Notamacropus eugenii: one gene and its partners. The main gene of each other region encodes a partner of the protein of the gene in region 4 in a complex. Links are inferred from orthologs where the notes say so. Each region holds a gene or a part of one and is shown on either strand. Other genes may lie near its edges.

The links.
Region 1: TMEM237 (region 4) and TMEM231 share a complex: the UniProt entries of both Homo sapiens proteins name them as parts of the tectonic-like complex. The link is inferred for Notamacropus eugenii from reciprocal best matches to the Homo sapiens genes TMEM237 and TMEM231.
Region 2: TMEM237 (region 4) and AHI1 share a complex: the UniProt entries of both Homo sapiens proteins name them as parts of the tectonic-like complex. The link is inferred for Notamacropus eugenii from reciprocal best matches to the Homo sapiens genes TMEM237 and AHI1.
Region 3: TMEM237 (region 4) and TCTN1 share a complex: the UniProt entries of both Homo sapiens proteins name them as parts of the tectonic-like complex. The link is inferred for Notamacropus eugenii from reciprocal best matches to the Homo sapiens genes TMEM237 and TCTN1.

What each region holds. Positions count from the first base shown.
Region 1 is NC_092872.1:712,648,814-712,655,992, forward strand, and holds the start of TMEM231 (transmembrane protein 231), read left to right. Parts: upstream 1-4,130; 5' UTR 4,131-4,296; coding exon 4,297-4,435; intron 4,436-4,988; coding exon 4,989-5,158; intron 5,159-7,179. UniProt on the Homo sapiens protein: Transmembrane component of the tectonic-like complex, a complex localized at the transition zone of primary cilia and acting as a barrier that prevents diffusion of transmembrane proteins between the cilia and plasma membranes.
Region 2 is NC_092873.1:221,568,072-221,575,834, forward strand, and holds the start of AHI1 (jouberin), read right to left. Parts: upstream 3,026-7,763; 5' UTR 2,674-3,025; intron 1-2,673. UniProt on the Homo sapiens protein: Involved in vesicle trafficking and required for ciliogenesis, formation of primary non-motile cilium, and recruitment of RAB8A to the basal body of primary cilium.
Region 3 is NC_092875.1:35,714,357-35,721,826, forward strand, and holds the start of TCTN1 (tectonic-1), read right to left. Parts: upstream 3,017-7,470; 5' UTR 2,250-3,016; coding exon 1,973-2,249; intron 1-1,972. UniProt on the Homo sapiens protein: Component of the tectonic-like complex, a complex localized at the transition zone of primary cilia and acting as a barrier that prevents diffusion of transmembrane proteins between the cilia and plasma membranes.
Region 4 is NC_092877.1:297,804,435-297,811,635, reverse strand, and holds the start of TMEM237 (transmembrane protein 237), read left to right. Parts: upstream 1-4,144; 5' UTR 4,145-4,484; coding exon 4,485-4,526; intron 4,527-4,957; exon of another isoform or gene 4,958-5,095; coding exon of another isoform or gene 5,096-5,132; intron 5,133-7,201. Other genes in the region: MPP4 (MAGUK p55 subfamily member 4), read left to right, coding at 1,059-1,250. UniProt on the Homo sapiens protein: Component of the transition zone in primary cilia. Required for ciliogenesis.

The DNA of each region.
Region 1 (7,179 bases), on a different chromosome or scaffold from region 4:
TCTCCCATGAAATGGAAGTGGATAGCAGAGTGGATTGAAAACAAGAAACCTACAATATGTTGTTTACAAAAAAACACATTTGAAGCAGGGAGGCACACATAGAATAAAGGTAAAAGACTGGAGCAGAATCTTTTATGCTTCAGCTTAAGTAAAAAAAAAACAAACCAAGGATAGCAATCACGATCTTCAACAAAATAGCTCTAATTAAAAGAGGCAAGGAAGGAAGCTACATTTTGCTAAAAGGTACAATGAAGTAATATCAGTTCTAAGCATATATGCAACAAATGGTATAGCATCTAAATTTCTGAAGGAGAAGTTAAATGACTTATAGCAAGAAATAGATAGTAAAACTATACTAGTGGGGGACCTCAACTTTCCCCTCTCAGAACTAGATAAATCTAACCACAAAATAAACAAGAAAGAAGTTAAGGAGATGAATGGAACTTTAGAAAGATAGATATGATTGACCTTTGGAGAAAATTGAATGTGGATGGAAATGAATATACCTTTTTCTCAGTAGTACATTGCACTTACAAAAAAATTGACCATGTATTAGGGCACAAAGAAACCCCACAATCAAATGCAGAAAGGCAGAAATATTAAATTAATCCTTTTCAGATCATGATGCAATAAAAAATTACATTTAATAGAAGACCATGGAAAGATAATTAAATAAAAATAAACTAAATCTAATCCTAAAGGATAAATGGATCAAAGAACAAATCATAAATAATTTCATTAAAGAGAATGACAATAATGAGACAACATGCTAAAATTTAAGGGATGCAACCCAAGGCAGTACTTGGGGGAAATTTTATATCTCTAAATGCTTATATCAATAAAATAAAGAGAAGACCAATGAAGTGGGCATGCAATTTTAAAGAGCAAGAAAAAGAACAAATTATAAGTCCCTGATTAAACATCAAATTGGAAATTCTGAAAATCAAAAAAGAGATTAATAAAATTGAAAGTAAAAAAACCCATTGAACTAAAAACCAAGAGCTGGTTTTATGAAAAAACAAACAAACAATAAAATAGATAACCTTTGGTTAATTTAATTTTTAAAAAAAGGAAAGAAGAAAACCAAATTACCAGTATCAAAAAATAAAAAGGGTGAATTCACCACCAACAAAGGGGAAATTAAAACAATAATTAGGAACTATTTTGCCCAACTGTATGCCAATAAATCTGACAACTAAGTGAAGGGGATGAATATTTACAAAAATATAAATTGCCCAGATTAACATAAGTGGAAAGAGAATACTTACATAGCCCCATTTTAGAAAATGAAATTGAATAAGCCATCAATGAACTCCCTAAGACAAAATTCACAGGGCCAGATAGATGTACAAGTGAACGCTACCAAACATTTAAAGAACAATTAATTCTGATACTATATAAACTATTTGGGAAAATTCACAAAGGAGTCTAACCAAATTCCTCTTATGACAAAAATATGTTGCTGATATCTAAGCCAGGAAGAGCCAAAACAGAGAAAAAAAACTATACCAATTTCCCTAATGAATACCAATGTAAAATTTTTTTTAAAGTACTAGCGAGATTACAGATATATATGTGTGTGTGTGTGAGAGAGAGAGAGAGAGAGAGAGAGAGAGAGATATGTATCTTATATATATCTTCAATAGTTTAAAAACCCGCCAAAAATTGGGGTATCTTCCTGTATTAAAACTCCTATTAAGAGAGATGAGGTAGACTAAGGGGGAAGAGAGAGAGAGAGAGAGAGAGAGAGAGAGAGAGAGAGAGAGAGAGAGAGAGAGAGAGAGAGAGAGAGTTAATTACAATAATAGTTCAGGGTTCCAGAGTGAGAGTACAAACTTTTTAGAATGATGCAGCACACCTTCCTGTTCTTGGCTGATTAAATGGGGGCACAGTTGGCACACTTGTCCATATCCCCAATCCCAGAAATATTTCTGGGATCCTGGGGAAATTTTAGCATTATCATTTTAAGTGTCCTCTCTAAGGACTTGCACCAAAGAATCCCAAAAATAACCTTGTGGCAAAATTCTCTGATCTCTTAAATAAAAAAATAATCTGAGTGATTGTTAAACATTAAAAAAATAAAAAAATTAATAAAAAAAAAAATAATCTGTTTCCAGGTATCTGCCTTGGTTTACAGTTTTTCCCTGTGGGGATCTTTTATACCACTCTTCAATGGCTGGCTATGTTCATGTACAATGACAGGTTTACTGCATGGTCTTTTCCAAAAAGCCATTCAAATTAAAAAAAAAATACACAAAAATTACACAAAAATAGCTCTCTGGGGCCCCTCTTAGGCAAGTGAGTGACATGGTCTTTAATAATACAAAGGAACTATGGTTGAACTTTAAGGATTCTACAAATTAGCCCTTTTCTAAAAGAGTTGAACTTTTCTTTCTCTATCCCAAAAAATCCTGTCTCTTCAAGATACTTTGAAAGTAAACTGATCTCGGAAGAGATTACCTAGTAGAACTTAGAAGTGACTTAAATTACCAGTGACTGGAAGACCCAACAAAACTGGAGGACTTAAAATGTAGTTTTCATCCTGGAGTCAGGAAGATCTGAATTCAAATCCAGCCTCAGACACCTGACCTACTAGCTATGTGACCATGGACAAGTCACTTAACCCTGATTGCCTCGAAATACAAAACAAAAACAAAAAATCAAGTTTGCCAAAATTATCTTCAATAATAATGTTTATATAGTGCCTTAAGGTCTGAAAAGTACTTTATTAATATATCTCATTTTTTTCCTGTGCTATCATGATCCCTATTTTACAGATAATGAAAAGAAGACAAACATGTTAAGTGACTTGTCCAAGGTTACATAGCTATTAAATAAGTGTTTTAGGCAAGTCTATCCTAACTCTAGGCTCAGGGCTCTATCACTTGCACCACCTATCTACTTAGGTGGTTCAGAAGACAGTAAACAGGATGCTTATCTTTTTTGACTCTATGACATATGAGGGCTATTGAAAGTACTGGACACATTTAGCCTGGAGATGTAGAAGACTGGGGGTGGGAATGGGGGAATATGATAGCTGTCTTCAAATACTTAAAGGATTTTTATCTGGAGCGGAGATTACACTAGTTTGGTTTGGTCCTAGAGATCAAAACCAAGAGCAATATGTGGAATTTGTAAATAACTAAATTTAGGTTTGCTATCAGGAAAAATGCCCTTTCTTAAGTCTTTTTACATTTCTTTGGCAACAGTATGTCATTTGAGTCATTCATATGCTATCTGTTGCCCTTGTCACATGCTACTTCTTTTCCAATTATGTATATATTCAGTGAATCCCCTTACATCACTTTTAATACACCAATCATCTTTGAAAATATTTGTGCCTTTCTTTTATTGACCTTTCGGTCACAGGCAAGATTTTAGTCTTTAGGGACTGTGAAAATTCAATATTTGCAAACATAAAACGGTCAATCTGTTCTGGAGTAAATTCGTTGTAAAAAAGATCTCGAATAATTCTCTTTTGTACTGCGAATTCATACTGAAAACAATCTTGAGGAGTTGATATCCAAACAGACAATTTTATTTCTAGGCGTCAAACTTTGTGCTGTTACAAATGGTATTGCTACAAACATTTTGCTGAAACCACGTTTTCATGATGTTTTCCCCCTAATTCTGTGAGCTCCAGAGGATGCCTTTCGCCTTATTTTTTTCCATCTCCAGTGCTTAGCACAACCAGTGCTGGCACATACTAGGCGCTTAATAAATGTTTATTGATTGACTCTTCAGAGAGTTGTGCACCCAGTGCTTTAAAGATAGCTAGTGGCACATACGTATGAAGTGTTCCATTTGATTTCGGTCCCTAAATACTTCCTAAGACCAAGTAGGAAATGCACGGGAATTTCATTTCCTTTGGACTGGCTACAGATATTGCCTTGGGCGATCTGACAAAAATATACCTACAATGCTGTTTATCCGAAAAGATAAAAGATTATTCTGTTTACACGCAAGGTTTCAGAAATGTTCTTAGCGCTCTTGGCATAGATCACCGCAGGGAGCAGGGATACAAGGTATCTTTGGCACAAGTAGACCACAGTAACATTTTCTCGCCGGCGCGGAGCCCGTCCCCCTCACGTCGTTACATGATTGGCTGAGAACGACTCTACCCCAGCCGCGGCCTTGCTATTGGCTCACGCACCGAGGTAGGACGGTTACCGTGGAGACCTAGGCTATGGCCACTGAGAGAAGCCAAATCTGGTAAGCGTTGGTGAGTCGTGCAGCCCAGGCCTCCGCCCCGGGCTCCCTAAGCCCAGGCCTGCAGCGAGGAGCGCGGCCTTCGCCATGGCCCTCTACGATCTGTACTCTCACCCTCTGGAGATCATCTACCGCGCAGGGCTGTGCTCCAAGGCCGCCTTGTTTCTGCTGCTGGCCTCCAGCCTCACCTACATCCCCCCGCTGCTCGTGGCCTTCCGGAGTCACGGTGAGCCCGGCCCAGCCCGAAGGGGCCCTGCCCCTTCCCCCCCCCCAGGCCTTCCAGACGCCCCCATGTCGTGCGCCCCCAGCCCCTAGACCCAGGCCGTCCAGACGCCCCCATGTCGTTCCCCGCCCCCCCAGCCCCTAGACCCAGGCCTTCCAGATGGCCCCCCTCACATTGTGTCCCTTAAACTCCCCAGATCCAAGTCATCCAGACACCCCCCTTCAGTGTGCCTCCCAAACCCCACCCAGACCCCGGCCATCCAGAAGCCCCCACCCCAGACCGAGGCAGACGTCTGCCAACACATTGTGGCCCTCCCAACCTCACCTACACTGCCCTCTGTACTTTGCCATCAAGGCAATATTATGGTGTCCCCAGAACCTGGCGTACACCCCTTGGCCTCATTCTCCTAGTGTGTCACATCTCCCCTCATCTTGTGTGTGCTCTCATCTCCCTTTCAGCTTCTTTGGCCCCTAGATCGACTTGTTGGTGTTCAACACGGCCTGGGCACAGAGCTTCATTCTCCATGCCTTGCTTCTGACTTGTATATTCTGTCTAGGTTTTTGGTTGAAGCGCAGCAGTTATGAGGAGCAGCCGACTGTTCGGTACCAACATGAGGTGCTGTTTGTGGCTTTGTTAAGCTCTAATTCTGGAGAGTATCTAGCCTGGAGCACATTCCCCAATTTTAACCAGTTTCAAGGGGATAATCTTCGGCTGCCAGTGGTATGGGTAGGTGGCTCCTATACTCCTAAAGCAGAATTTGCTATTGACAGTTTGTTTTGACATATTGATCATTTCCCAATAAATAACCTCCCATAATACTTCCCTGTAAAAAAACATCAAATAAGCTAAACCATCTTAATATCATGATTGTCATAGACAAAAAAAAAATTGTGATTTTTCCACTCTTGTAGTTTATCATTTCTTAACAGAAAGGAAGAGTATTTCAGCTCTGCCCTCCCCACAGAAGTCCATGGATTTGACCTGAATTCTTTTGCTTTTTAGGGTGGACTTCATTCAATCAGTATATTCAGGTCTATATTGTTCCTTTGGTCTTGCTTTTTTCTCTGTACATGAGATTACACAAGTCTTTCCACCTGTCTTTGAGTTCTTCATATTTATCCTTTGTGATAGTGAGATGGGATTTTATTACAATCATAACAGCAGTTAAAAAGGTCCACAGAAGTCATCCATTTCAATCATCTTATTTCACAGATGAGGAAAGTGGCTTCCAGAAAGGTTCATTATTTACTGACAGTCACACAGTGAAAAAGTGGCATCGCCAGGATCCAAACTCGGGTCTTCTGATTCCAAATTTTGCATTCTCCCCACCGTACCATGCGCTTCTTCTTCCATTCATACGCTGTTCTGTTGAGGCATTTCTAGTCATTGGGGGTGTAGCTTGTTTCTAATTTCTTTCTGTTACAAATTCTTGCTGTAACAACTATGACTATTTTGGTGCAAATGGGGAACGTTATTTCTGTCGTTGACCTCTGTGGATATAAGCCCAGTGGTGGAATTTCTAGCTCAGAGGGTATGAATGGTTTAGTAAATTTTGTCGCATATTCCCAAATTATATTCTAGAATGGTTGGATCAGTTCGTAGCTCCACTATAGCTCTACCAACATTTGCTTTTTCCATCTTTTACCATATTTTTCCCAATTTGATGAGTGGGAAGTGATACATACCTTAGAGTTATTTTAATTTATAGTTTGCAATTGCAAATAAGACAAAAAAAAGAAACTAAAATTATTAACATTAAAAACAAAGAGTTCAAGATATTATTTGCTATTTAGGCTATTTAGAAAATCCAAATGTTCCTACCAAAAATTAATAGTGACAATAAATGAGTTGAGGAAGGTCTTAGAAAACAAGATGAGTTCACTAAAATCATTTGCAGTCTTATTTGCTAGCAATAGAGATCAAAGAACCCCATCTACCATAATAATAAATGGCACCAAATATTTGAAAATCATTCTGCCTAGAAATATGCATGGCCTATATATAGACAACTATAAAATTATAATGACTAAAATAAAGAAAGATCTAAATAATTAAAGGGATAGTGTGCAAAGATGGATAAGTTAATATGATGAAAATGTCAATACAACCAAGCTTAACTTGAATACTTAATACAGTACCAATCAAAATGCCAAGATTTAAGTACAACTGGACAAAATAATATTGAAATACATATAGAAAAATAAAGAAACTGGACTATGTAGAGTCACTATTTAAAATGCTTGTAAATGTAGTCTTGTACTCCCAGACTTGGGATAGCTAGGTAGTGCAGTGGCTAGAATGCCTTAACTAGAGTTAGGAAGACTGGTCTTGAGTTCAAATGTGACTTTAGAAACTTACTAGCTGTGTGACCCTGGACAAGTCACTGAACCTTGTTTACCTCAGTTTCTTATCTATAAAATGAGCTAGAGAAGGAAATAGCAAACTGTTCCAGTATCTCCAAAAATCCCAAATGTGATTATGAAGAGTCAGACATAACTGAAAAATGACTGAATAATGACTTCCAGACTTATTACAAAAGCAGCCATCCAAATTATCTGGCACTGGGTCAAAAGCAGAATGAGGCATATGAAAGAGAAGAATAATCCTAGGCATCTAACTAAATGTAGACAAAAGGCAAACCTTTTATAGAGGATAAAATCCCAGACAAGAATTCATGATTTAATAAAGGAACATGGGAAAATTGACTACTAATTGGACAAGAAATTAATTTAGACCCACATCTCACA
Region 2 (7,763 bases), on a different chromosome or scaffold from region 4:
GTAATATAAGTTTATCTTACTCAACAGGAAAGTAGGAGAAAAAAAGACTATGGGAAGGGGTAGGGGGATGACAAAAGGGTAGGCAGATGAAAGAAGGCAGTTATCAGAAGCAAAACAGACTTTAGAGGACGGATAGGGTAAAGAGAAGAATAAACAGAAAATAGGATGAAGGGAAATACACAGTAATTATAACTGTGAATATGAATGGAATGAACTCATTTATAAAATGGAAGCAGATAGCAGAAGGATTAGAAACCAGAATACAATAATATGTTACTTATATGTTGCTTGAAACAGGGAAATACACATACACACGCACACACAGATAAAATAAGGGGCTGGAGCATAATCTATTTGCTTCAGCTGACCATGCTTGACTTCTCTATAACTTTTAACAGTTAATCACCCTCTTCTCCTGGGTACTCTTTTCTCTCTACATATTGGTCTATTCTGGTACTTCCTATCTGTCTGCATATGTCTTTTCTAAAATAACTGCAGACAAAATAAAATATGTGGGAGGCTACCTGCCGGGATAAACCCAGGGACTATATGAACAAAATTACAAAACACTTCACACAAATAAAGGAAGATCTTAATGGTGGGAGAAATATTAACTGCTCATGGACAGGTAGAGCCAATATAATAAAAATAATGATTCTATCACAAGTAATTTATTCGGTGCCATAGCAATCAAATTATCAAAAAAAATTATTTGATAAAATTAGAAAAAATAATAACATAATCCACATGGAAGAACAAGTCAAGAATGTCAAGGGAATGAATGAAAAAAAATGTGAAGAAAGGCAACCTAGCAGTTCCACATTTCAAACTATATTACAAAGCAGTAATTATCAAAACAATCTGGTACTGGCTAAGGAATAGAATGGTAGGTCAGTGGAATAGACCATGGCAAACTAGCGTTTAATAAAGGCAAAGATCCAGGCTTTTGAAGTAAGAACTCAATATTTGACAAAAATTGCTAGGAAAACTGGAAAGCAGCTTGGAGGAAATAAGGCATAGGCCAACATCACACAACATCTACCAAGATAAAGTCAAAAATAGATAAATGATTTAGACATAAAGGGTAATATAAGTAAATCAGAGAGCATGAAAAAAACGTACCTATCAGATATATGGCTAAAGGAAGACTTCATGACCAAACAACACATACAGAGGATCACAGGAAATAAACTGAGTAATTTGATTACATTAAATTAAAAACTTTTGTACAAACAAAACTAATGCAGCCAAAATTAGAAGGAAAAAAGAAAACTCTGTGTGTGTGTGTGCAGATTTTACAACAAAATTTCTCTGATATAAACCTCATTTCTCAAATATATAGAGAACTGAACCAAACTTACAAAAATAAGAGCCATTCCCCAGTTGATAAATGGTCAAAGGATATGAACAGGTAGTTTTCAGAAGAAGAAATCAAAGCTATAAACAGTCACATAAAAAATGTTCTAAATCACCAGAAATGCAAATTAAAACAACTCTGAAGCACAACCTCTCAGCTATCAGGCTGTATGTATAAGATAACATAAAAGGAAAATAACAAATGCAGAAGGGGATATGGATAAATTGAGACACTAATGCACTGCTGGTGGAGTTGTTAACTGGTTCAGCCTTTTTGCAGAACAATTTGGAACTACACTCAAAGGGGTATAAAACTGCATACCAGCAACACCACTGTTGTTGTAGTTCAGCCATTCAATCATGTCTGACTCTAAGTGACCCCATGGACTTTTATCTATGGGGTGTTCTCCAGTGTTACCTCATTTGATAGATAAAGAACTGAAGTAAATAGAGGTTAAGTGACTTGCCCAGGATCACACAGCTAGTAAGTGTCTGAGGTCACATGTGAATTCAGATCTTCAAGCAAAGTGAAGTCAGAACATTGTATCCAGGAACAGTTATATTGTAACAATGAGCAACTATGAATTACTTAGTTGCTCAGATCAATACAATGATTCACGACAAAATGCCAGAGTACAGATGATCTCCAAAAGCAGACTGCAGCATATTTTTTTACTTTATTTGTCTTGGATTTCTAACTCCATCAAAAGCAAAACCAAACCAAACCTGTGTAACAAAGTGTGCACACACAAAAAGGAAAAAACTCGTGTAACAAAATATGCAAAAAAGGGAAAGAAAAACAAAACGTGTGCGACAAAATACTCCCCCCTCCCCCCCACCCCCGAAGCCAACACCACGACGAAATGTTGCCAATATCTGGAAATGTTCTGCTAGTACAGGCTGGATAATTTAGGTGGGCTCTGGGATCCCTCCCTCCGGAATCAGAAAACCCGTGAGATTCTGGTGGTCAAGAGTCCGAAATACTAATCAACCGTGAGTTCTCGAAGTCAATTCTCGCCCCCTGGCGCCTCGCGTGGGCACAGACACGTGCAGCAGCGCGGTGGTAGCCACCACGGGCCTGGGCAAAGGCGCACGCACCCCCGGGGACGCGCAGCGCGGGCGGTGGGGGTGGGCAGGCGAGGGGCACGTCGGCAGCAGCAGCCACGTACCGCCAGCGCGAGGCTAAGGTACACACTCAAGTACGCAAGCGCGCACGCGCACACCCACGCAGGAGCGGCCCGGACAAACCCAAGTTAGCCATGGTCGCCGCAGGCCGGAAAAGTCAGCGGCTGACAGCCCGGAGAGCAGCCGACTCACCAGGAGGGGACGCGCAGCCCGGGGAAGCGGCTGGCCTCCGTCCTTTTCCCTAAATCGACGCCGGCTGACCGACCTAACCAACGGAAGGGAGAAGCGCTAGCGCCTAGCTCTGCCCGGCGGGAAGGAGAAGGCCACCGGCTCCCTGCTGAAACCGGCGGCTAGGGCTGGGAAGGGGGTGGAGACGAAAGGGATTAGAGGTGGGACGGGGAGGGAGAGGGAGGAGGACCGGAGTCTAGAGCTGAGCGGAGCGAGGCGTTTACGTCAGTTACCGCGGCGCTCCGTTGCCGATAGCAACCGAAGAGGTAGGAGGGGGCCCTCCCCTCCTGTTTCCTCCAGAGCTCCAGCCAATAGCAACGGCGCTGGCTGGGGCGCCTCAGAGAGCCCGGATTGGTCTGCCGGCCTGCGTGCCCCTCCCCTTAAGTGGAAGAGGGGCGGAGCCTACTCAGAATATTTAGGGACTGCCCAAATTCATCTCTAATACTACCCTTTTATCAGTCCTTGACCCGTAGGGCAGTCAGATGAAACTCTTCTCAGAGTCCTGGTTTTGAATGCATAAAATAAAAGGCATACATTAGAATGTAGGAAAGTTATCAAAATAGACGAGTAAAATATCCCTGCTTTAACCTTAGAAAGTTCTTCCTTTCATCAGGCTTAGCCCCGTGTCCTTTTCAGCTGTTATTAATTGATTTGGAAAGATCATTCACTTCTTCAAGTATTTTTTTAAGGACTTAGTACATGTAAGGGGCTGCCCTCAAGGAGCTTTCTTACAATAGGGTAAAATAAAACGTAGCTCTATAAATCAATATAAAATATATAGGACATAATTTTTTGGTGGGAGAATAATAACTGGCCAACAGGGAATCTAGAAGGGCCTCTCCTATGAGGCAGCACTAAAACTAAGCTGGAGAAAATTAAGATTTCTAAGAGACCTAGGTGAAGTTGTTGTGTATTCACAGTTCAAAGGCAAAAAAGGGAATATTGAATATGTGGAACAACCATTGAACCAACATACTCTATCGATAACCTCATCACCTGCTGTGGATTTCACTATGACCTCTATGCTGATGACTCCTAAATGTGCATATTTAGCCTCAGTCTCCCCTGTGCTTCAATCCTGCATCATTAAATTGTCTAGCGAATATTTCAAAGTGGACATCCTGAAAAATTCTTAAACTCTATAGGTCTAAAACTGAATTCATTTTCCCCTCCAAACCAGGAATTATTCATTTTTTTGTTAATTATTTCAATATAATTAGTTTTCTTTGTAATCCTATGTATTTTATCCTTTCAAAAAAATGTTGTGAGAAGTCAACAAGCATGTATTAAGCACTTGCTGTGTTCCTGGCACTATGCCATACAATGGGGTACAAAAAAAGACAGGAGTTGAAGGTGATACCTAAGTTGAGAGCCTAGGTGAACAGGAAGATTTATAGTAATAGGAAAGATCAGGAAGGGGAAAGTTTGGAGAGGGAAAGATAATAACAAAAACTTGGGGGATACACAAGAGTTAGTACACATGACCAGAATGAAAAAAAAAGTAAAAGAGACTGAGAAGAAGCAGCTAGGCAAGTAAAAAGTGAAGGGGTATATAAGCTTCACTAAACTTCTAAAGAGAACTGAAACAAAAAAGGTAAAGAACCCTTTCCCTAAACCCTCCCCTCTTCCAAACTTACCAATTACTGTTGAAGGCACCATAATTCTTCCAATGTGTTAGGTTCATAATCTTAGCATTATCTCACCCTGGCTCATACCACATGTAATAAGGTGCCAAATTTTGTTCTTTCTACCTTAACACCTCTGACATTCAAGCCCTTCTCTCCACTCACACAGTTGCCAACTTTCTCCAAGCTCTCATCTCACCTAAATGATTCCAACAGCCTCCTAACTGATGCTAAAATATTGTTCTTTAAGCACAGATTTCACCATATGATTCCCCTGCTCAGCCAGTTCCAATGACTTCCTATTGCCTCTAAGATGACCTTTTATTTAGCTTTTCTCACTCCATATAACTGGGCCTCAACCTCTTTGCAGCCTCAATGGACATTACTTCCCCTACCATAACTGCGACACAATCAAACTGGCTTTCTCTTTGCTCCCCACTCCCATCTCCCATCTTCCTAGAATGCATTCTGTCCTTGCTTGTTTACTCACTCATGCCTGACTCTTCATGACCACATGGACCATAGCAAGCTAATACTGTTCAAGAGGTCTTCTTGGCAATGATTCTGGAGTGGTTTGCCATTTCTTTCTCCAGTGATTCCCTCCTAACCAACACCCATTTAAGATGCAGCTCAGGTACTATCTTCTATATAAATACTTTCCTGGTCTCAACTCCTAGTGCTTTTCCTCCCAAACTACCTTGTATTTAATTACTTTGTATTGTATCTTATTGTATTTGTATTTATTTAATCTTTATACTGTGTATTTATTTTATATGTACTTTTTGTCTCTTCATTAGAATGTAAGATCATTGCAACCAGGAAATGCTTTATCTTTTGTACTTATGTACAGCTTGTAGCACAGTTCCTAGAAATACTAGGCACTTAAATTATTTGTTTGTTGACTAATTGCCTGGTAAGTCTGAAGAGAATGCTAAAGTGGGGACAGGGAGGGGCATAATGAAAAGATAGAACCAGATTATGGTTACTAGTAAAGTCCAGTCAGGGGGGAATAAACAACTATGTAGCATAGCACAAGAAAGCTTCCAGCATGTAGATCAAGGCTGAACTGGGGAAAACCTAGAGACTTTGATTGTGTAGGCTGGAAACTATGCATGGGGTCCAGTCAAAAATTCCAGGTTCATGAATGAAGTCCACAGAAACATGTCATCAGTTGAGGAGGGGAGAGCTAGGGAAAAATTTAGCCTGCAGATATATACCCCTAGGGGAGAGTTACAAACACTTGGATTCTATAGGTGTGTAGGTGTGATCCCAGAACTGGGTCAGGAGTCTGCAAAGCTCAGATCTAGAAGGCAATAGTTAGACCTGGCCAGAGCCTGAAGAAAAAGCTCTGAAAGTCAGCAATTTACTAGCCTGAGCCACCCAAGGTCCTTGAAGAACATGCAGCTCAGTATTTGGAGGAAGCATTAGAAAGACCCTAGGTGATACTGATCTGGGCCAAACAAAGCACCATTATTTCTTCACAGCTGACCTGGCACATTCAGAAGTTAGGGCTGAGTTCAGAAAGTAAGGCAGAAAAAATTAATATCAATAAAGAAATACTGTTAAGGTGCCAGATCTTTTATGTCAGCTTTTCCCCAGATTCTTTCCCTCCCTTCAGAGACATTTTTCTGAAGAAAATTCTATTACCATGTATCTCCTCTGTCAAAACTGGAAGCCACTACAAGTACCTCTCTTCAAGCAAGTGCTCAACAGTGATGCCCCTCTATAAGACACAAAGTAATTCTCCATCAATGAGGAGAGCTCTTATGCAAATAAGATTGAACCACTGGTTACCTCTAATTTTATGCCAATAAAACTTGATAATTAAAATGAAATAGATTACTATCTACAAATTTATAAAATATCTAGATTTATAGAAGAAGAAATAGAGGATTTAGATAATCCTGATTCGAAAAAATAAATTGAATGAGCTATAAATTAGCTTCCTAAAGAAAAAAAATTTATAAATCACAGCCATTATAAAAAAACACTCTAAATCACTAATAATCAGAGAAATGCAAATTAAAACAACTCTGATTTCCCACCTCACATTCAAGAGATTGGTAAAAATGGGGGGAAGGAAAGCAAAATGATGATGATAGGGAGACTCTGAGAAAGACAAGCATACTAATGCATAGTTGGTAAAACTACAGATCTGTCCAGCATTCCACAAAGTGATTGTAACTATATTCCAAAAGTCACTAAACTAATTGTGCATGCTATTTGACTCACTATTTGATTCTGCTTTTAGATCCCAAAGTGATACCCCCAAGGAGATCAAAGAAAGAGGGAAAAGATCCACACACAGAGAAGTATTTTGTAGTAATTCTTTTAGTTTTAGCAACAATACTGTAACTAAAAAGATGCCAAATCCCTTGGAGATTGGCTGAACAAATTATGTTATATGAATTTAATGGGATACATAGAACCATAAGAAATTACAAAAGGAAAGATACTATATGCACTAAAGCAGACTGAAATGAGCATAACCAAGATAAATTCTGTGGTAACAATATGAAGAAAAAAAATTCAAAAGACTTGGTGTTCTTAATTCAATGATCTTACACAATTTGAGAGTACCAAAGTAAGCTCACTTCCTGACAGAGGTAATGGACTCAAATGCAGAAGGGGTATATCCAGGGATTGACAGAGTGTAACTGATGCAATTTTCTATGTAGAAGAGGATAAGCAGCTTCCATTACAGAAGGTCATGATGTTGTGTAACGGAAAGAATTTGGAGAGACTTTGGAACATTTATAGACATTTTGTAATGAGTTTTGATTTACTGACTAGTGATAGAAATCATCCTCTTTGGCTACAGGTCTGGAACTGGAACTGGGGATGATTTCAAAAAGTTTTAATCATTGAGTCTATCTCAACCCCAACAGAAAAATGTTGGTTCCTGGAGGATATGGATGAATGTCTTAGTTTTCCTTATATTGCACATAGCATCTAACTGTCAATATATAATAAGGGGTAGCTCCTGGAGCCTTGATTCTTTAATATTAGAAATTACCAGAGGAGGAAACTACTTCAACCAATGCACCTTCTTTGAAATTATGGTATGAGAGAGTTGCCCAAGGTACTGAAAGGCACAGCAAATCTGTGCTTTCCAGTTTTAAGGCAGGCTATCTAACACCTACATACTGCTCTTCAAATGTTTTGCATCAATTTTGATAATTTACTCAATAATAGATTCAAATAGGTTTTATTTGAGAATGTTGAAAAGCAACCCCACAAGGGGGTGCCAGAACTTATTGTTTTGTTTTTGTTTTTCTTTAAAATTTTACTTTAGCTTTTAACAATCTATTTTCATTTGCTAGTTTTTTCCTCTTTAAGATCTTAGTCATTTTGGGAGGCCCCAGCCTGTACTATAAGGGTTAAGCTAGCTATAGAGTATCCAGGGGTTCAGATTAGTTAGGATTGAGG
Region 3 (7,470 bases), on a different chromosome or scaffold from region 4:
CCTCTCCTGTACTTGACACAGAATTCTGCATAAAGTAAGCATTCAATAAGTAGGATCACTGATTTAGAGATGAAAGGCACCTTAGGGGTCACTGAGTCCAACTTTTTCATTTTTCAAAAGAAGTAACTAAGTCCCAGAGGGGTTCAGTGGCTTGTTCAGTGACACAGGCAGTGTCTAAGAGAACAGTCAAGCCCAGGCCCTGCTGTCTCCAAACACAGCATGCACTCTGTTCACCATATTAAGCCCCTTATATGTAGCTAGCTGACACTGTAGATACAATTTCTGACCTGCAGTCAAGGAAGACCTGAGTTCAAATCTAACCTAAGACACCAGCTCTATGAAACCTGGGCAAGTCACGACATAACCTCTGTTTGCCTCAGTTTCCAGATTATAATAGCACAAGATTGTGGTGAGGATCAAGCAAGATAACACGTATAACATATACCACATAATCAAAGTGCTTTGCAAACTTCAATATACACTATACAGCTATCTGAGGTGTATGGGGTGTTCATGGAGGACTAGCACCTCTGGCGTGAGAGCTTGCCATGATGGAGTAAACCATCCAGCAGACAGGCTAAACCAGGCTAAGGATAACTGATAGGCCTCAAAACCCATCAGTGAGTTATGGAGACATCTACCTCAAGTATGTGAAGGCTTTCCCCAGCAGAAAAGGTAGATAAGAACAATTTAGAGCTTAGACAAAATGACACCAAGGTCATCCACCACATTTAGGGCCATTGCCAGTTGTCATGACTTTTGTCTTGCTACTGGACTTGGATGACTTGGAAAGACTGAAGCTAACTCACTGAAATGCAGTTCACATGAGTCAAGATGTCACTGGTCCTTTTGGTAAATGAAGGACAAACAATAGAGCTGTTGTTTACAATTGTATACAATGCATTTGCCATATTGGGTTGACTCTTAAGGAGCCTAAGCATTTGTAATGCTTGTATTCACCAGTGGGCCAGATAGAATCTCAGCTAGATGCCCAGATGACTTGGGTTCTACTGGCTCCTTTCCTTTCCTGTCCTGTCCTGGCCTATCCTGTCCTGTCTTCTTCGGCAATGAAGGACGAACACAATACAATGCAAACATTTAAGGGCCAGCTATTATGATATTATCCTATCTGTTCCTTGTTATTTCTTAATATACTTCTCACTTCATGAAGGCAGAACTTGTATTTCACCTAAAATACATATGTCCTCTAATGATGGGTGCCACAGTGTATAATGCACTGGGACCTAGAATCAGGAAGACCTGAATTTAAATCCTTCCTCAGACACTTAGTAGTTATGGACAAGTCATTTAATCCCTGTTTGCTTCAGTTTCCTTATCTGTAAAAGGGGTATAACGCAGCACTTCTCTCACAGGGCTGGTATGAAGACTATATGAGTTAACACATATAAAATGGTCTGCAAACTTTAAAGCGAAACATCAATGTTATTACAAGTAAGATGCACTCCTAAAATTCACTTTGCTTTTTGTTTCTCCAGCCATCTCCTGTCATCCTGATGAATATCAAGCCACTGGAGGAGAAGGTGAGGCTGGTGATCTTGCACAGCCCTCACTCACTCAGATCAGAGTCAACTGCAAGTCACGTCGTCATCTTGATGTCATGGACCTCTTCCAGAACGAAGGACAAACGCAACAACAGGCAGGGTCTGGCACACAGTTTGTCGCTTGATTGGGAGAGCTCTGCATACAGCAGGGACTTAACAGATGCTCCGGCTGCTGTATCTATGAGCTAGGGTGTCACCTTTTCTTTCCACAGACCCGGTACTTCCTCTACACGAGGTTGGGGCTTAAGAGATGCTCTGGCATCAGCTGCCCGCTGGGACCTCACCCCCTCCTCCGCACCAGTCTCCCCCCCTCCCCCACACAGAGTGCACTCTGTTCACACAGCAGGCACTTAGCAAATGTTGCTGCAGGCCTCCAGGTCTGTGTCCTCCCCTGCCTCCTCAGTACCCACCATTCGTGACCGGGCTGGGCCTCAGAGCAAGCCGCATGTCCTCCGCTGGGGCCAGGGGCGACTGAGAAGTGGCCCCGGCGGCCTCGCGGACCCCGGTCTCGGGCCTGTTGTCCCTGGAGCCCGGGGTGGGGCCGGGGTCGGGGTCCGGGATGGGCCCAGCATCGGGGCCCTGAGGAGTCTCTGCGGGGGCCCAAGGTGGGGGTTCGGAGTCTGGAACCTGCGCTGCCCCCAGGCCCAGGACGACGAGCAGCAGCAACAGGAGGCACCACCCCCCCATCTCAGGCCACTGAGCCACCGCCACGCCGGAAACGTGCGTTGTCTGGGCAACAGCAGCAGCCGAGCGCGGGGCATCACGGGAGGCGGGCAGGAGAAAGGGAGAGGCCGGGGCAGGCTGGGAAGAGTGGCAATGGCGGGGCGGGGCTAAGCCTGGGTTCCGGCCTGGGGAGGGGGAGGATGATGTCAGGAGAAGGGAGGCACCTCTGAGGACGCGAGGTTGCCGCAGTCCCGGGCGCAGAGCGAGGGGAGTCTAGGCAGGGGGATGGCGGCGGGGGAGCCGAACAACGTTTAAAAAGGGGCGGAGATTGACGTCAGCGCAGCCTAGCGAGGAGAGGGGAGTGGAAGGGGATGACGTCAGGGGCTCAGAGCCCTCCGTACCCTCCCCCCACCGTACCCCAGCCTGGGGACAGAAAGATTAATGTTAGGGAGACAGAGAAAATCTAGGGAATTGGAAGGCATAACGTCAGGTGCTCAGAATAGAGACTGAAATGTGACGTCAGGGGCTTAGAACCTCCCCCACCCCCATGACCCCGCCACCACCTCCCCCAAACACACACACCTATCCCGGGAAAGGGGAGAGAATAAAGGGCACAGAGCACGTCTAGGGAACTGGAAGGGGATGGCGTCGGGGGCTCAGAGCCCTCTCCTCCCTCCCCCCTCACCACCATCCTCCTGCCCCGGAGAAAGAGAGGAAGATCGATGTTAGGACCGAGTAAGCGCACACACACGCACACACACACACACACACTCCCCTGTCCTCCTTCCCCCCTCCCCCGTATCCCCAGCACGCGGAACGAGAGGTAGTTTAATGTTAAGGGCACAGAGCAAATCTAGGGAACTGGAAGGCCTGACAAGGGCGGCTCAGAATAAAAAATAGAAGACATCAAGGCTTTAGAGTCCCCCACCCCAGCACAGGCTGAAATTTTACCCCTGGAGATTAATGTCAGGAGCAGCAGACAGCATGTGTAAGGAGCTGAAAGGAGTTAACATCAGGGGTGCAGAGTAAAGTCTAGGGAACTGAATGGGGATGACATCTGGGTTCTCAGAGCCTGCTGAGGGATAGAGGAGACTGACATCAGCAGTTCAGAACCAGATTGGGGAAGTAGAGAAGACCCCAGTGATGCTGATGACATCAGCAGTGCAGACTAAAGGCAGGGAACTGGTAGAGACTGATGTCAAAGAGCAGACCTAGGGAAGCAGAGGGGGAATAATGTCAGGGACATAAAGTAAGTCCAGGGAATTGGAAAGGGATGACAACAGGGACTCCAAGGAAAGTTAAGGAAAGGAAGAGCATGACATCATAGGCACAGAACAAGTCTATGGAACTCTTAGAGTCTGATAGTGCCAAGGCTAAGGGAGAGGTTGAGAGACTGGCACAGTCTCCCTAGGCACAGAGTGGGCCTAGGGAACCTGAAGAGGTTGATGTCAGGCAGTGACCTAGGGAAGATGTGGGGACTAATGTCCAGAGTACAGACAGTGGCACCAAAGTAAAGCTAGGGAATGGAAGCAGATGGTGTCGTGGACACCTGGGGAATGGAAAATCACTGGAATCAGGGGTGGAGAACTGGGCTAGAGAACTGGAAGATAAGTGGGGGGGGAGGGGTACAGAGAGAGCCCAGGGAAGGGGAGGAAACTGATGCAGAACATAAGAGGAGGAGTGTGTCAGGGGGGTTAGTAAATTTAGGGAAATGAAGGTCATTGACATTCAGGGTTCAGAGCACAGCTTAGGGAATTAGAGGAAGATGAGTAAGGGGTGCAGAGGAAGGAAGGTTTAGTGTCTGGGAGGGGATGACATCAAAGGAGCAGAGCTATCCTACGAAGCTGGACAAAGGCCTGGGGACACAGCACTCTTGGAAAAGGAAGGTGATGGTCAGGAGAGGCAAGAGAGCTTGGTTAAGGGAAGGAGGATGAAAGCAGGGAGAAAAGGATTGAGGGGAGGAGAGAGTGGGATAGAGAGGGAAGAGCACTGGTCTTGGAGTCAGGAGACCTGGGCTTGTTCTGCTGCTGGAGAAAAGACTGCTGGGAAGGACCCTCAGATTGAATCCCCGATCTGCTGCTATGTGACCCAGAGAATATGACTTCTCCGGCCTTACTTATGCACAAAATGAGGTTGCATCTTTAAGGTCACTTTCAGCTCTAGGAGAAGCAGGCTAGCATCATCATAAATGGCAGGAGAAGCATTGCAGTGAAATAACAGAAATATGATTTTGGGGTAAAATATGAGCAAGGTGGAGACTAATACGGTTTTGTCAAGATATTGAGGGAACAGGCTCAGAGCAGTAGAGTGACACATGGAGTAAGCAGAGCATGGATTAGACCAAGCTCCTTTAGCTCTGCCCCAAGGGGCTTCCCACTCCTAAACCCCTGACGTCATCTTCCTGTCTTTATTCTGAGCCCCTGACGTCATCCCTTTCCCGTCCCCTAACCTCGCTAGGCTGCGCTGACGTCAATCTCCGCCCCTTCCCTAGACTTGCTTGGCACCTCCGACGTCAATCTCCTCCCCAGCGTAAACGCTGTTCGGCTCCCCTGCCGCCAGCCCCCTCCCTAGACCGCCCTCGCTCTGCGCCCCCAACTAAGTCTCCTCGCGTTCTCAGAGGCGGCTCACTCCTCCTGACGTCATCTTCCCCATTGCCTGAACCCGAGGCCCCACGTCCCTGACGTCAATCCTCGCCCCTTGTTGGGGATGGTTTAGCCCCTCCCCTCCCGTGCCCCCTTCCTCATCCCTCCTCTCTGCTCCTCCCGTGATGCCACGCGGCCGTTGCCCAGACAACACGCGTCTCCCGCCTGGCCAGTCTGTGGCCTGAGCTGCGGGCTCAGGCTGCTGCTCCTCATCCTCCTGGGCTCACCCCGAGCTCAGCCACTTCTCTGTCCCTCCTGACTCTGGTCCCGAGGCCCCCAGAGTGGGAGGTGCAACCTGCCCTGAGGCCCAGCCCAGCACGGTCCAGGCTGACAGCCACACTTATTAGGCGCCTGCTGTGAGCACCCAGAGCACACTGTGCGTGGGGAGGGAGGGCGACTGACTGAGGAAGGGGACACCCCCTCCTGCAGATACAGCAACTGATGCCAGAGCATCTATTAAGCCCCTGCTGTGTGCAAAGGGAGACAGTGAGACCCCAGCTCACAGAGAGCAACCAGAGCATCTGTGAAGTCCCTGCTGTATGCAGAACTCTCTCAAGCAAGCAGCAGACAGTGTGCCAACCCCTGCCTTGCTAGATGCTGGAGAGACAAAACTCAAAGTGAATCTTCATTGTTATAATGATAGCTACCATCAAGGTTGCCCTTTAAGCTTTGCAGACCATTTTACATGTGTTAACTCACTGAGTCCTCACAACAACCCTGTGAGAGGAGTGCTGCTGTCATACCCATTTTACAGATAAGGAAACTGAGGCAAACAGGGATTGCCCACAGCTCCTAAGTGGCTCAGGAAGGATTTGAATTCAGATCTTACCCCCCCCCCCTCTAGGTGCAGTGCATTAGACACAGTGGCACCCACCATTAGAGGATGAATAGATTTTAGATAAGATAGAGGTCCTACTTTCATGAAGCTAAAAGTATTCAGGGAATAACAACAAACAGATACATATTATCATAATAACAGCTGGTGTTTATATGGCTACATGAATTCACACATTATGTTATGTAGCTATATTGCTGGTTGTCCTTTGTTTTCAAAGGATACAATGACATCATGGGTATTGCCTTGACTTCTGTATGAACTGGACTGAAGTGAAGCAGAGTTGCACAAAGCCCTCAGCCTCGTTCTCTCTTCCAGGGTCATAGAAGTCCCGTGGCAAGACAAAAGTTAATCTAAATCACTACTGATTAGACAAATGCAAATCAAAACAACTCTGAGGTACCACATCACACCTATAAGATTGGATAACATGACAGAACAGGAAGATGATAAACGTGGGAAAATTGGAACCCTGACTCGTTGGTGGAGCTGTGAGCTGATCCAGCCATTCTGGAGAGCAATTTGGAACAATGCCCAAAGGGCTACAAAGATGTGCATACCCTTTGACCCAGCAATATCACTTCTAGGACTGTATCCCAAAGAGATCATAAGACTGGGGAAAAGTCCCACATGTACAAAAATATTTACAGCAGCTCTCTTTGTGGTGGCCAAGAACTGGAAATCAAGGGGATGTCCATCAGTTGGGGAATGGCTGAACAAGTTGTGATATATGAATGTAATGAAATGCTATTGTGCTATGAGAAATGATAAACAGGAGGACTTCAGAGAGGCCTGGAAGGATTTATATGAACTGATGCCGAGTGAAATAAGCAGAACCAGGAGAACATTGTACACAGTAACAGACAGTGTGCGAGGACTGTTTCTGATAGACTTAGCCCTTCGCAGCAATGCAAGGACCTAAAACATTCCCAAAGGACTCTTGAGGCAAAATGCCATCCACATCCAGAGAAAGAACTATGGAATCGGAACACAGAATGAAGCAGACTATTTTCTCTTGTATTATGTTTTGGTTTGGTTTGGTTTCTCTCATGGTTTCTCCCATTCATTTTAATTCTTTTTATGCAACATGACTAATGTGAAAATGTGGTTAATAAGAATGTATGTGTAGAACCTATATAAGATTGCATGCTGTCTTGGGGAGGGAAGGAAGAGGGAGAGGGAGAAAATTTAAGACTTATGGAAATGATTGTAGAAAACTTGAAACAAATAAATTAATTTTTAAAAAAAAGACAAAAGTCAAGATGACATGGTGATTTGCCCAGGGTTCACATAGTTAGTAATATCTAAGGTCGGATATGAAGTCAGGATTTCCTGATTCCAGGTCAGGAATTTTATCTACAATATCAGCTAGCTACATATAAGGGGCTGTGCTCACTCTGTGAACAGAGTGCATGTTGTGTTTGGAAACAGAAAGTCCTGGGCTCAGATCTTCTCTATGACACTGCCTGTGTCACTGGACAAGCCACTAAACTCCTCTGGGACTTAGTTACTTCATTGTAAATTGAAGGGTTGGACTCAATGACCTCTAAGGTCCCCTCCATCTCTAAATCAATGACCCTATTTATTAAATGCTTACTTTGTGTAGAATTCAGTGTCAGGTGCTTGAGGCGGTACCAAGTTTTGTTTTTTTAATTCATTTTGAACTTAAATACAAAAAGACCCCCCCCCCAAATTTCCATAGACACATGACATAAAAAGAGAATTACATATGAAATCATGAAGTTGCATTTCACCATTTACTCTATTT
Region 4 (7,201 bases):
GTATTCCTTTCTTTGAGAAAATCCAATGTCATATGCTAAAGTCAATTTATGAAACAGAAATGAGGTTGTTTATTCACATTTTAAAAAGAATTCTTTGCTTTATAAAAGGATTCACTGGAGGAGTGCTTTAAAAACCTCCCATCTCATTTAAAATTATTTTAAACAATTTATGGTTCAGAAATCCATTTTATAAAATTACAAACACCTGTATATGCTTATATATCTTGTTATTCTCTCAGTATTATTTTTAATGATGTATTTCATAAAATTTTCTTGGTTGTCTCTAGGAGAAAACAGTAAGTAAAATTTGCCAGTGACCAAAATGAAAGAATAAAGAATTTTGTCTATCAATGTTTGTCGCTCATCAGGTACTGTCTGTTGACTCCACTGCTCAATGGAAAGGGTGCTCACTTTGGTGTCAGCAGCACTGACTGTTACTGTCTATGTTACCATCAGCAGGCTGTTACTGTCTATGAAATCTTGGACAGATCACCTAATGTCTCTAGGCTGAAGTTTTCTTTGTTCTTGTTGTTCAGCTGTTTTTTAGTTGGTCCAACTCTTCATGACCCCATTTGGGGTTTTCTTGGAAGAGACACTGGCGTGTTTGCCATTTCCTTCTCTAGTTCATTTTACAGATGAGGAAACTGAGGCAAGAGGTTAAGAGACTGGCCCATGGTCTCACAGCTAGTAAGTGTCTGAGGCCAGATTTGGACTCAGTAAGATGTCTTCCTGACTCCAGGCCCAGTGCTCTAGCCACTGTGCTTGCTAGCTAGCTAGCTGCCCCTCTGGGCCTCAGTAAAATGAAAGGGTTAAGCTAGATGCAGGACTTCTGAAATTTTTTCCACTCTTGACCCCTTCAGCACTTCTTAAACTCTGGGTCCAGGGCATATGGGGTCACGACCCACAGTTTAAGAAGCTCTGAGGATGTCTAATATGTCTTCCAGTTCTAAAGCTATGATCCAATTATCTCATTGGTCTCAAAACTATGTTAGCAACTGAACTACTAGACTAAGCATTTTTTGTATTGTGCACATTCATCCTTACTCTCTCTGCCATAGGATGAAGACCTACAGGAGATGGAGGAGTTAGCTAAAAAAATGGAAACTCAGTTTGGCCAGTTTTTTGATCAAGTGATTGTGAATGACAGTCTGCAAGAGGCATACGCACAGCTGTTGACTGCTGTGCAACAGGCCCAGGATGAGCCACAATGGATCCCTGCAACCTGGATTTGTTCTGACACCGAACCTTAACGAGGAGGCTTCCTCACCTAGCCCACTTGGGGCTGGAGTCTCACATCAAATTTTAAGGAAGCATTTTTACTAAGAGGATTTGGAGCACTGAGAAAGAGCTAGTGCAAAAAGGAAGATTTGGTTTATAGCTTGCATAACCTAATACCTGCACCATTTTTTTTCAGTGCTGCATCACTACAGCTTGTTCATTTCATTGTTAAGAAGTATACATACCTGTTTTAATTCCACAGATGTGCTGTGTTGCATTATTGAGTTTCAGCAAAATAAAATATGCCCAGAATAGCTAATCTGGAACCAGACGTAGAAGCTCCATTAGTAAATCCAGATCACAGTGATTCATGATAAGCAGGTAACTGATTTCATACAGATCCTTTGTTTGAGGTCCTTTTCTAAGTTAAGGTCAGTGTTCCTTTTCTGTGCCTGACTATACAAGTTTGTCATGGTGTTAGCACATGGATCTTTGACTATGTACATAACTATGATTGATCCATGATCTCAAGGATAAGGGCCCTCATATTATGGAGACCCATCCATTTAAGTCTTCTCCACATCTTCCCACCAATTCTCTACCCACCATGCTAGGGACTTCCTTCTAGTTGTCTTGACATTTTATGGTATGAAATGCATATTCTATCTATCTACTGGTTATCCTTTTGTTTTAGTGGCCCATCTTTTGGTCCATTATGCATATCTCTGATATCCTTTATGTTGTTTCTCCTTTGAAACTCTCCTCACATCCCAGGATCTCTCCATTGTCCTTTGGGTTGTAACCCTCAACTTTAATGCTGACTGTATCAAACCCTGGAATGTAGCAACTTTCCCTAAGTTCAGATCCAGCCTCAGAAACTTACTAGTTGTGGGACCCTGCGCAAGTCACTTAACTTTCATTTGCCTCAGTTTCCTCAACTGTAAAATGGGATTAATAATAGCACCTACCTCCCAGGGTTGTTTTGAGGATCCAATGACATATTTGTAAAGCACTTAGCATAGTAGCTGGCACATAATGGGCATGTATTAACTGATTGTTTTTCTTCTTTCTTTCCTTCCTAAATGAGATCCATGATCACTCAGGACTGTGGGCTAACCATGCAGGGAAAAATAACTTCAAAAAACAAGTGGTTAGAAAAAAATATATTGTTCAGGCTAAGATATGCTGTTGAATGGACAACCCAAAAACAGAGGTGGTCTATTAGGTCAAGTCTTGTATTGACATTGAAAATGAACAATAAATGGGGCCCAAAGCTGAACAAGAAAAAAATGGGCTGCATTACCTGGAGGAAGCTGCACAAAGTTCTTCCTGAAACAAAGGTTTAACAAGCAACAACATTCCTTAGTGATTGTCTTCTTAGTATCTGAATCTAATTTGAGGGTCACACATATTGATCACTTTAATTTCACTTTTTAGTCTGTTTCTCTGGTTGTTAAATCAAAGCTTCAGACCTATTAAAAAGTGCCAGACTTTTCAACTCAAGCCTAGCAATAACATGTGAAATTTCTGATTTTGTGTTTCTATCTCTCAAAAGTTAAAAATGCATAGGTATCCACTCCAAGCATTTTGGGGGAAAGAAGAGGGAAGGGGTCAGGGCAAACAGCCTACCATAGTTATCTCTTTTCTAACCGTTACAGACTTAATCCCTGGATTTGCATATGAACAGGAACTCTCAAATGGATCTCACTCAGTTTAATCACACAGTGAACAAATACCAAGAATCTTCCCCAAGTAAAGTTGTAATTGTGAAAATGAAATTTGGCTTTAAATTTTAGGAGAAAGATAACACACACACACACACACACACACACAGACACACACACACACACACACACACACACACACACACACACACACACCCTCTCTGTTTTACTGCCGACCTTCTACATTTCTACTTATTCCCACCCACTCTACTATCTATAATGTACAAATTAAAAAAAAAAGACACTTTAAAATATTTCAGTCTTAGGTTCCTCATTCTAAGACGCAGTGCGGAAAGAGTATGGATTTGGGAGGATTAGGGATTCAGAAAACCTGGGCTCAGATCCTGCCTGGGACACTTTGTGACTGAGCAAATCACTCAATTACCTACTCTGTAAAATGGAGAGGGTGGTCTAGATGGCCTCTAAGGTTCCTTCTAAATGTAAAATGCTATTTTCATAAGCAACATGGGCATTGGACCGAGGTCCAATCCTAGGAAGACTTGGATTCAGGTTCTGACAAGCTGTGTGACCACGGGCCAGTCACTTCACGCTGCCATACCACTGACTGTATGAGGTCATCTAATCCAATACCTTCATTTCATAGAAGAGAAAAATGAAGGCCAGAGAGGTTGAATGACTTGGCCTACAAGGAGCAGGGCCAAGATTTGAACATCCTCCAACTCCAAAGCCATTGTTACTTTACTTTCATTTAGTCACTCATGGGTAGAAGGGATTTTTACATGGGAGTAGACCACTCCCCTGACCCCCCAAAAGTCCTGAATTTAAAAGCAAACATTAAAATGCCATGTACCTGCTGAAAGACCAAAGGCCACCACTGCACCTAACACCCTGGGGTTCAGCTGTATCCAACTTCTCATGACCCCGGGTTTGCTAGGCAGACACTGGAGTGGTTTGCCTGTGCTTCCCCAGCTGATTTTACAGATGAGGTAACTGAGGCACACAGGGTTAAGTGGCTCAGTCCCACAGCCAGTGAGGTCCCAGTCTGAACTGACGGTGCCATCTAGCTACAGCTCCACACCGTCTTTTGCTAGGCGTCTGTGGCCCTCAGCTGCGTTTCTCACAGACAGACAGGACTGTGAGAGAGGATGAGGCCGGCATCCCTGCTCTTTGGCCACACTCCGCTGGCCCGCAGGCAGGCGCACAGGCACTGACACACTTTCACACACACGCGGGGGCACAGGCACGCCAACACACGTGTACGCAGACCACGCACAAAGACAGCAGGATTCCTACAGACACAGCCACACTCACACGGACACTCCTACACGGACACAAATACGCACACACTCGTCCTCGTGCACACCCACGCGCGCACATTTCCACACGCGCTCCAGCCCTCGGGGCAGACTAGGGCGGGAAGCACCGCCCCGCCGGGAGTCGGCCTGGTCCCCGGCGCCCGCACGCCCTCCCTCTCCCAGCCCACACCTCCGGAGCGGAGCGCGGCGCGGCGCGGGCTCGAGGCGGGGGCTGGGCCTCGGGCCGGGCGGCGGCGGTTGCCCAGGAGGTTGCGCTGGACGCGGCATGAGGCCGGAGCCCGGGCCCCCGCAGGAGGAACCCAGCCCGGTGAGCCGCAGCGGTGGTGTGCTGGGCGGGGCTGGGGGGTCTCCGGGGCGTTATCTGGGGGCACCCCGCCCTCTCGCCTCGTTAGGGGTGCGGGGCCCTAGGTCTCGGGAAAGGGCCGGTGGCGGCCGGCCGGCTTGGGCGTGCGCTGCCATGACGACGCCCCGCCCTCCCAGGGCCACCAGTTGGGGTCCTCCTTTTCCACTTCCGCTTCTGGGCCTCTCTTACTCCGACCGCTTTCGCCGCCCACCCGTCCCGGAGAGCTCGGTCCGCCTGCGGGGAGGCCGTCATTTGCGCCCAGTCTCCCTTGGCTTCCCTCCCTCTCCTCCGGTCACACCCACGCTTCTCTGTCTGTCCCACTAGCTAGACCGGCGGAGCGGGGCCGGGCCTCGGGGGCGGGGCCTAGTGACGCAACGACGCACGGCGCGTCTGGGCCCTCCCCGCCACGTGTTAAGTGGCCAGTGGGCGGGGCTCGGGCTGGAGTCTTGCCCTGCTGCGGGCGCTGCCCGGGGCGGGCTGTGCGGGCATCCCACTGGCGCGCGGTGGCCGGCTCCTTCCGAGGCGGGCCTTAGATGGTATGGGGAAGAAACAGGTGGTAAGCCTCCGTCAGTGACTTGTTTTCCTTTGTTTCGCACGCCGTGACTGGGGAGGGGCGTCGTGCGTGGGTGTGCTGGCTTTGGGTGATGAGAGGGCCAGTCCCTGCCGGCCTTCCCGCTGAGATCCTCGTGATCCATTGGTCCTGGGAGGGAGCCTGGACCCAAAACGATAAATGAGGTCTCTGCGCGTGGCCTGTGTGCTGCTGTCGCTTTTTATACAACCGTTTTTTAATTTGTCTTCTTATTTTTCATTAGCATTGCTGTTAGTATAGTATTGAATATATTAATAAAAGCTTTGTTCAGCTAAGGACAGAGTTTAGGAGGAAAGTCATTAGCACTTATCCTTTTCGATATGCAGTATTGTTCCTGCACTAAACATAAGAGAAAAGAAATTAATGGGCATTTTCTTTATTAGATCTGTGATTTCATTGGTATCAGGAACGTCCCAACAGACAACCACCTCCACCAGTGCAGAAGTGTTAAAACAGTGGTCTGCAAAGCAGGGCGTGCACACACCGGGAGGGTGCATGAGTGCTAAGAAAATGTCAGGAAACAATTGTTCAGTGGCTGCTACGTGCCAAGCCTTTAAGTGCTTACTGTGTTAAGTGCTGGACATATACAGAATGGCAAAAAAGCAATTTAATCTAATGGTAACCACCACCTGACTCAACCCCTTCCATCCTGGCCAGGGCCCAATGTGGGCTGTGCTGAATGGTCAGCCATTTAAGCTCCTCACCATGCAAGAAGGTGCAGGGAGGGGGTGATGGGAATAAATCCTTCTTCCCGAAGTCCTTGCATCCTCCTTGCCTCTACCCCTGTGACCCACTTTTGTAAGTCGAAGGGTACATCTTCCTGGCCTGAGCTTGGCATACTAGTTCCTTGCTGCCTGTCCAGGCTCTTTTCTAAACTCCCTCACCCCAAAAAGAATGAGAGGCTTACACTAGACTGGAGGCATCTGCAGCAAGGAGAAGCCAAGAGGGTCAGGCCCAGCTGAGGTGATGGCATTATAAATGGAAGTGAATATATCAGCATTGACAGCTAGCAAGAGTTGGGAGGCAGCAGGGGTGGCTGCAGTCAGTGGGCTTGGGGATCAAGCAGTCAGACTGCCGAGAACCCTATTATTGCCCCCAACCAACCAGACAGCTTCAAAGTAAATGAAGGCCATTTACAGGTGGGAAACCAAGGCCTCCCCAGGCATCTTGCTGTGTGTCCTGCTTCCTTTTTCTTATCTGGAACAACCACCACCCTCTAGATCTGGGACCTGATCCCCAGAGACCATGTCTCTCACCCCTTGACTTGAGGGAAGAAGACATTTAACAGTCAGATTGCAACAACTTCATCGTCAACAACAAACCTCTGAATAATTGGTAGGTGGAAATGAAAAATGAATTCATGGTTTAGTAAGCACTGTCATACCTATAGGGTCATAACTTAAAGCTGGAAGGGTCCCGAGAGGTCATCTAGTCCACTCCCCCCCTCCATTTCACAGATAAGCACCTTTATAGAAATTAAATGACTTACCTGTGGTCAGAGACAGAGTAAGAGTCAGAGACAGGATTTGAACCTGGCCGGATCTGAACCTGGGTCTTCTTAACCAGCATTCTGTTTACTCTATCATTCTTCCTTTTGGATCTACAGATTTTTGAGATATCTTTCAGCCCTGACTGCCATTAAAATCTAGTGCTGGAAGAAATTGAACTTAGGATCAGACCCTCGAATCACTGTATCACAATGTGGCAAACCAACATTTTCCAAAGAATGTGGGACTTTCTATTATATTACTCTCACTAAATAAAGTAAGATAAAAATAAGTCACAGTTTTATTTAATGAGAGCCAAAGTCTTTTGTATTAATAAAAATATTTTAAAATATACTTTATCCTATTTTTATAATGTATTAAAATATTAGTAGAGTAGCAAATACTTATACATTTACAAATACATTCATGGAGAAGGTATGCCCCTAAATTTTTTGATAGGGATGCATGATCAAAAAAATTTGGAGACCATTGTCTTAGTTGCCTGGGACGCTGAGAGAAGTTAAGTGACTTGCCCAGGGTCACATAGCCAGTTGTTCAATTAT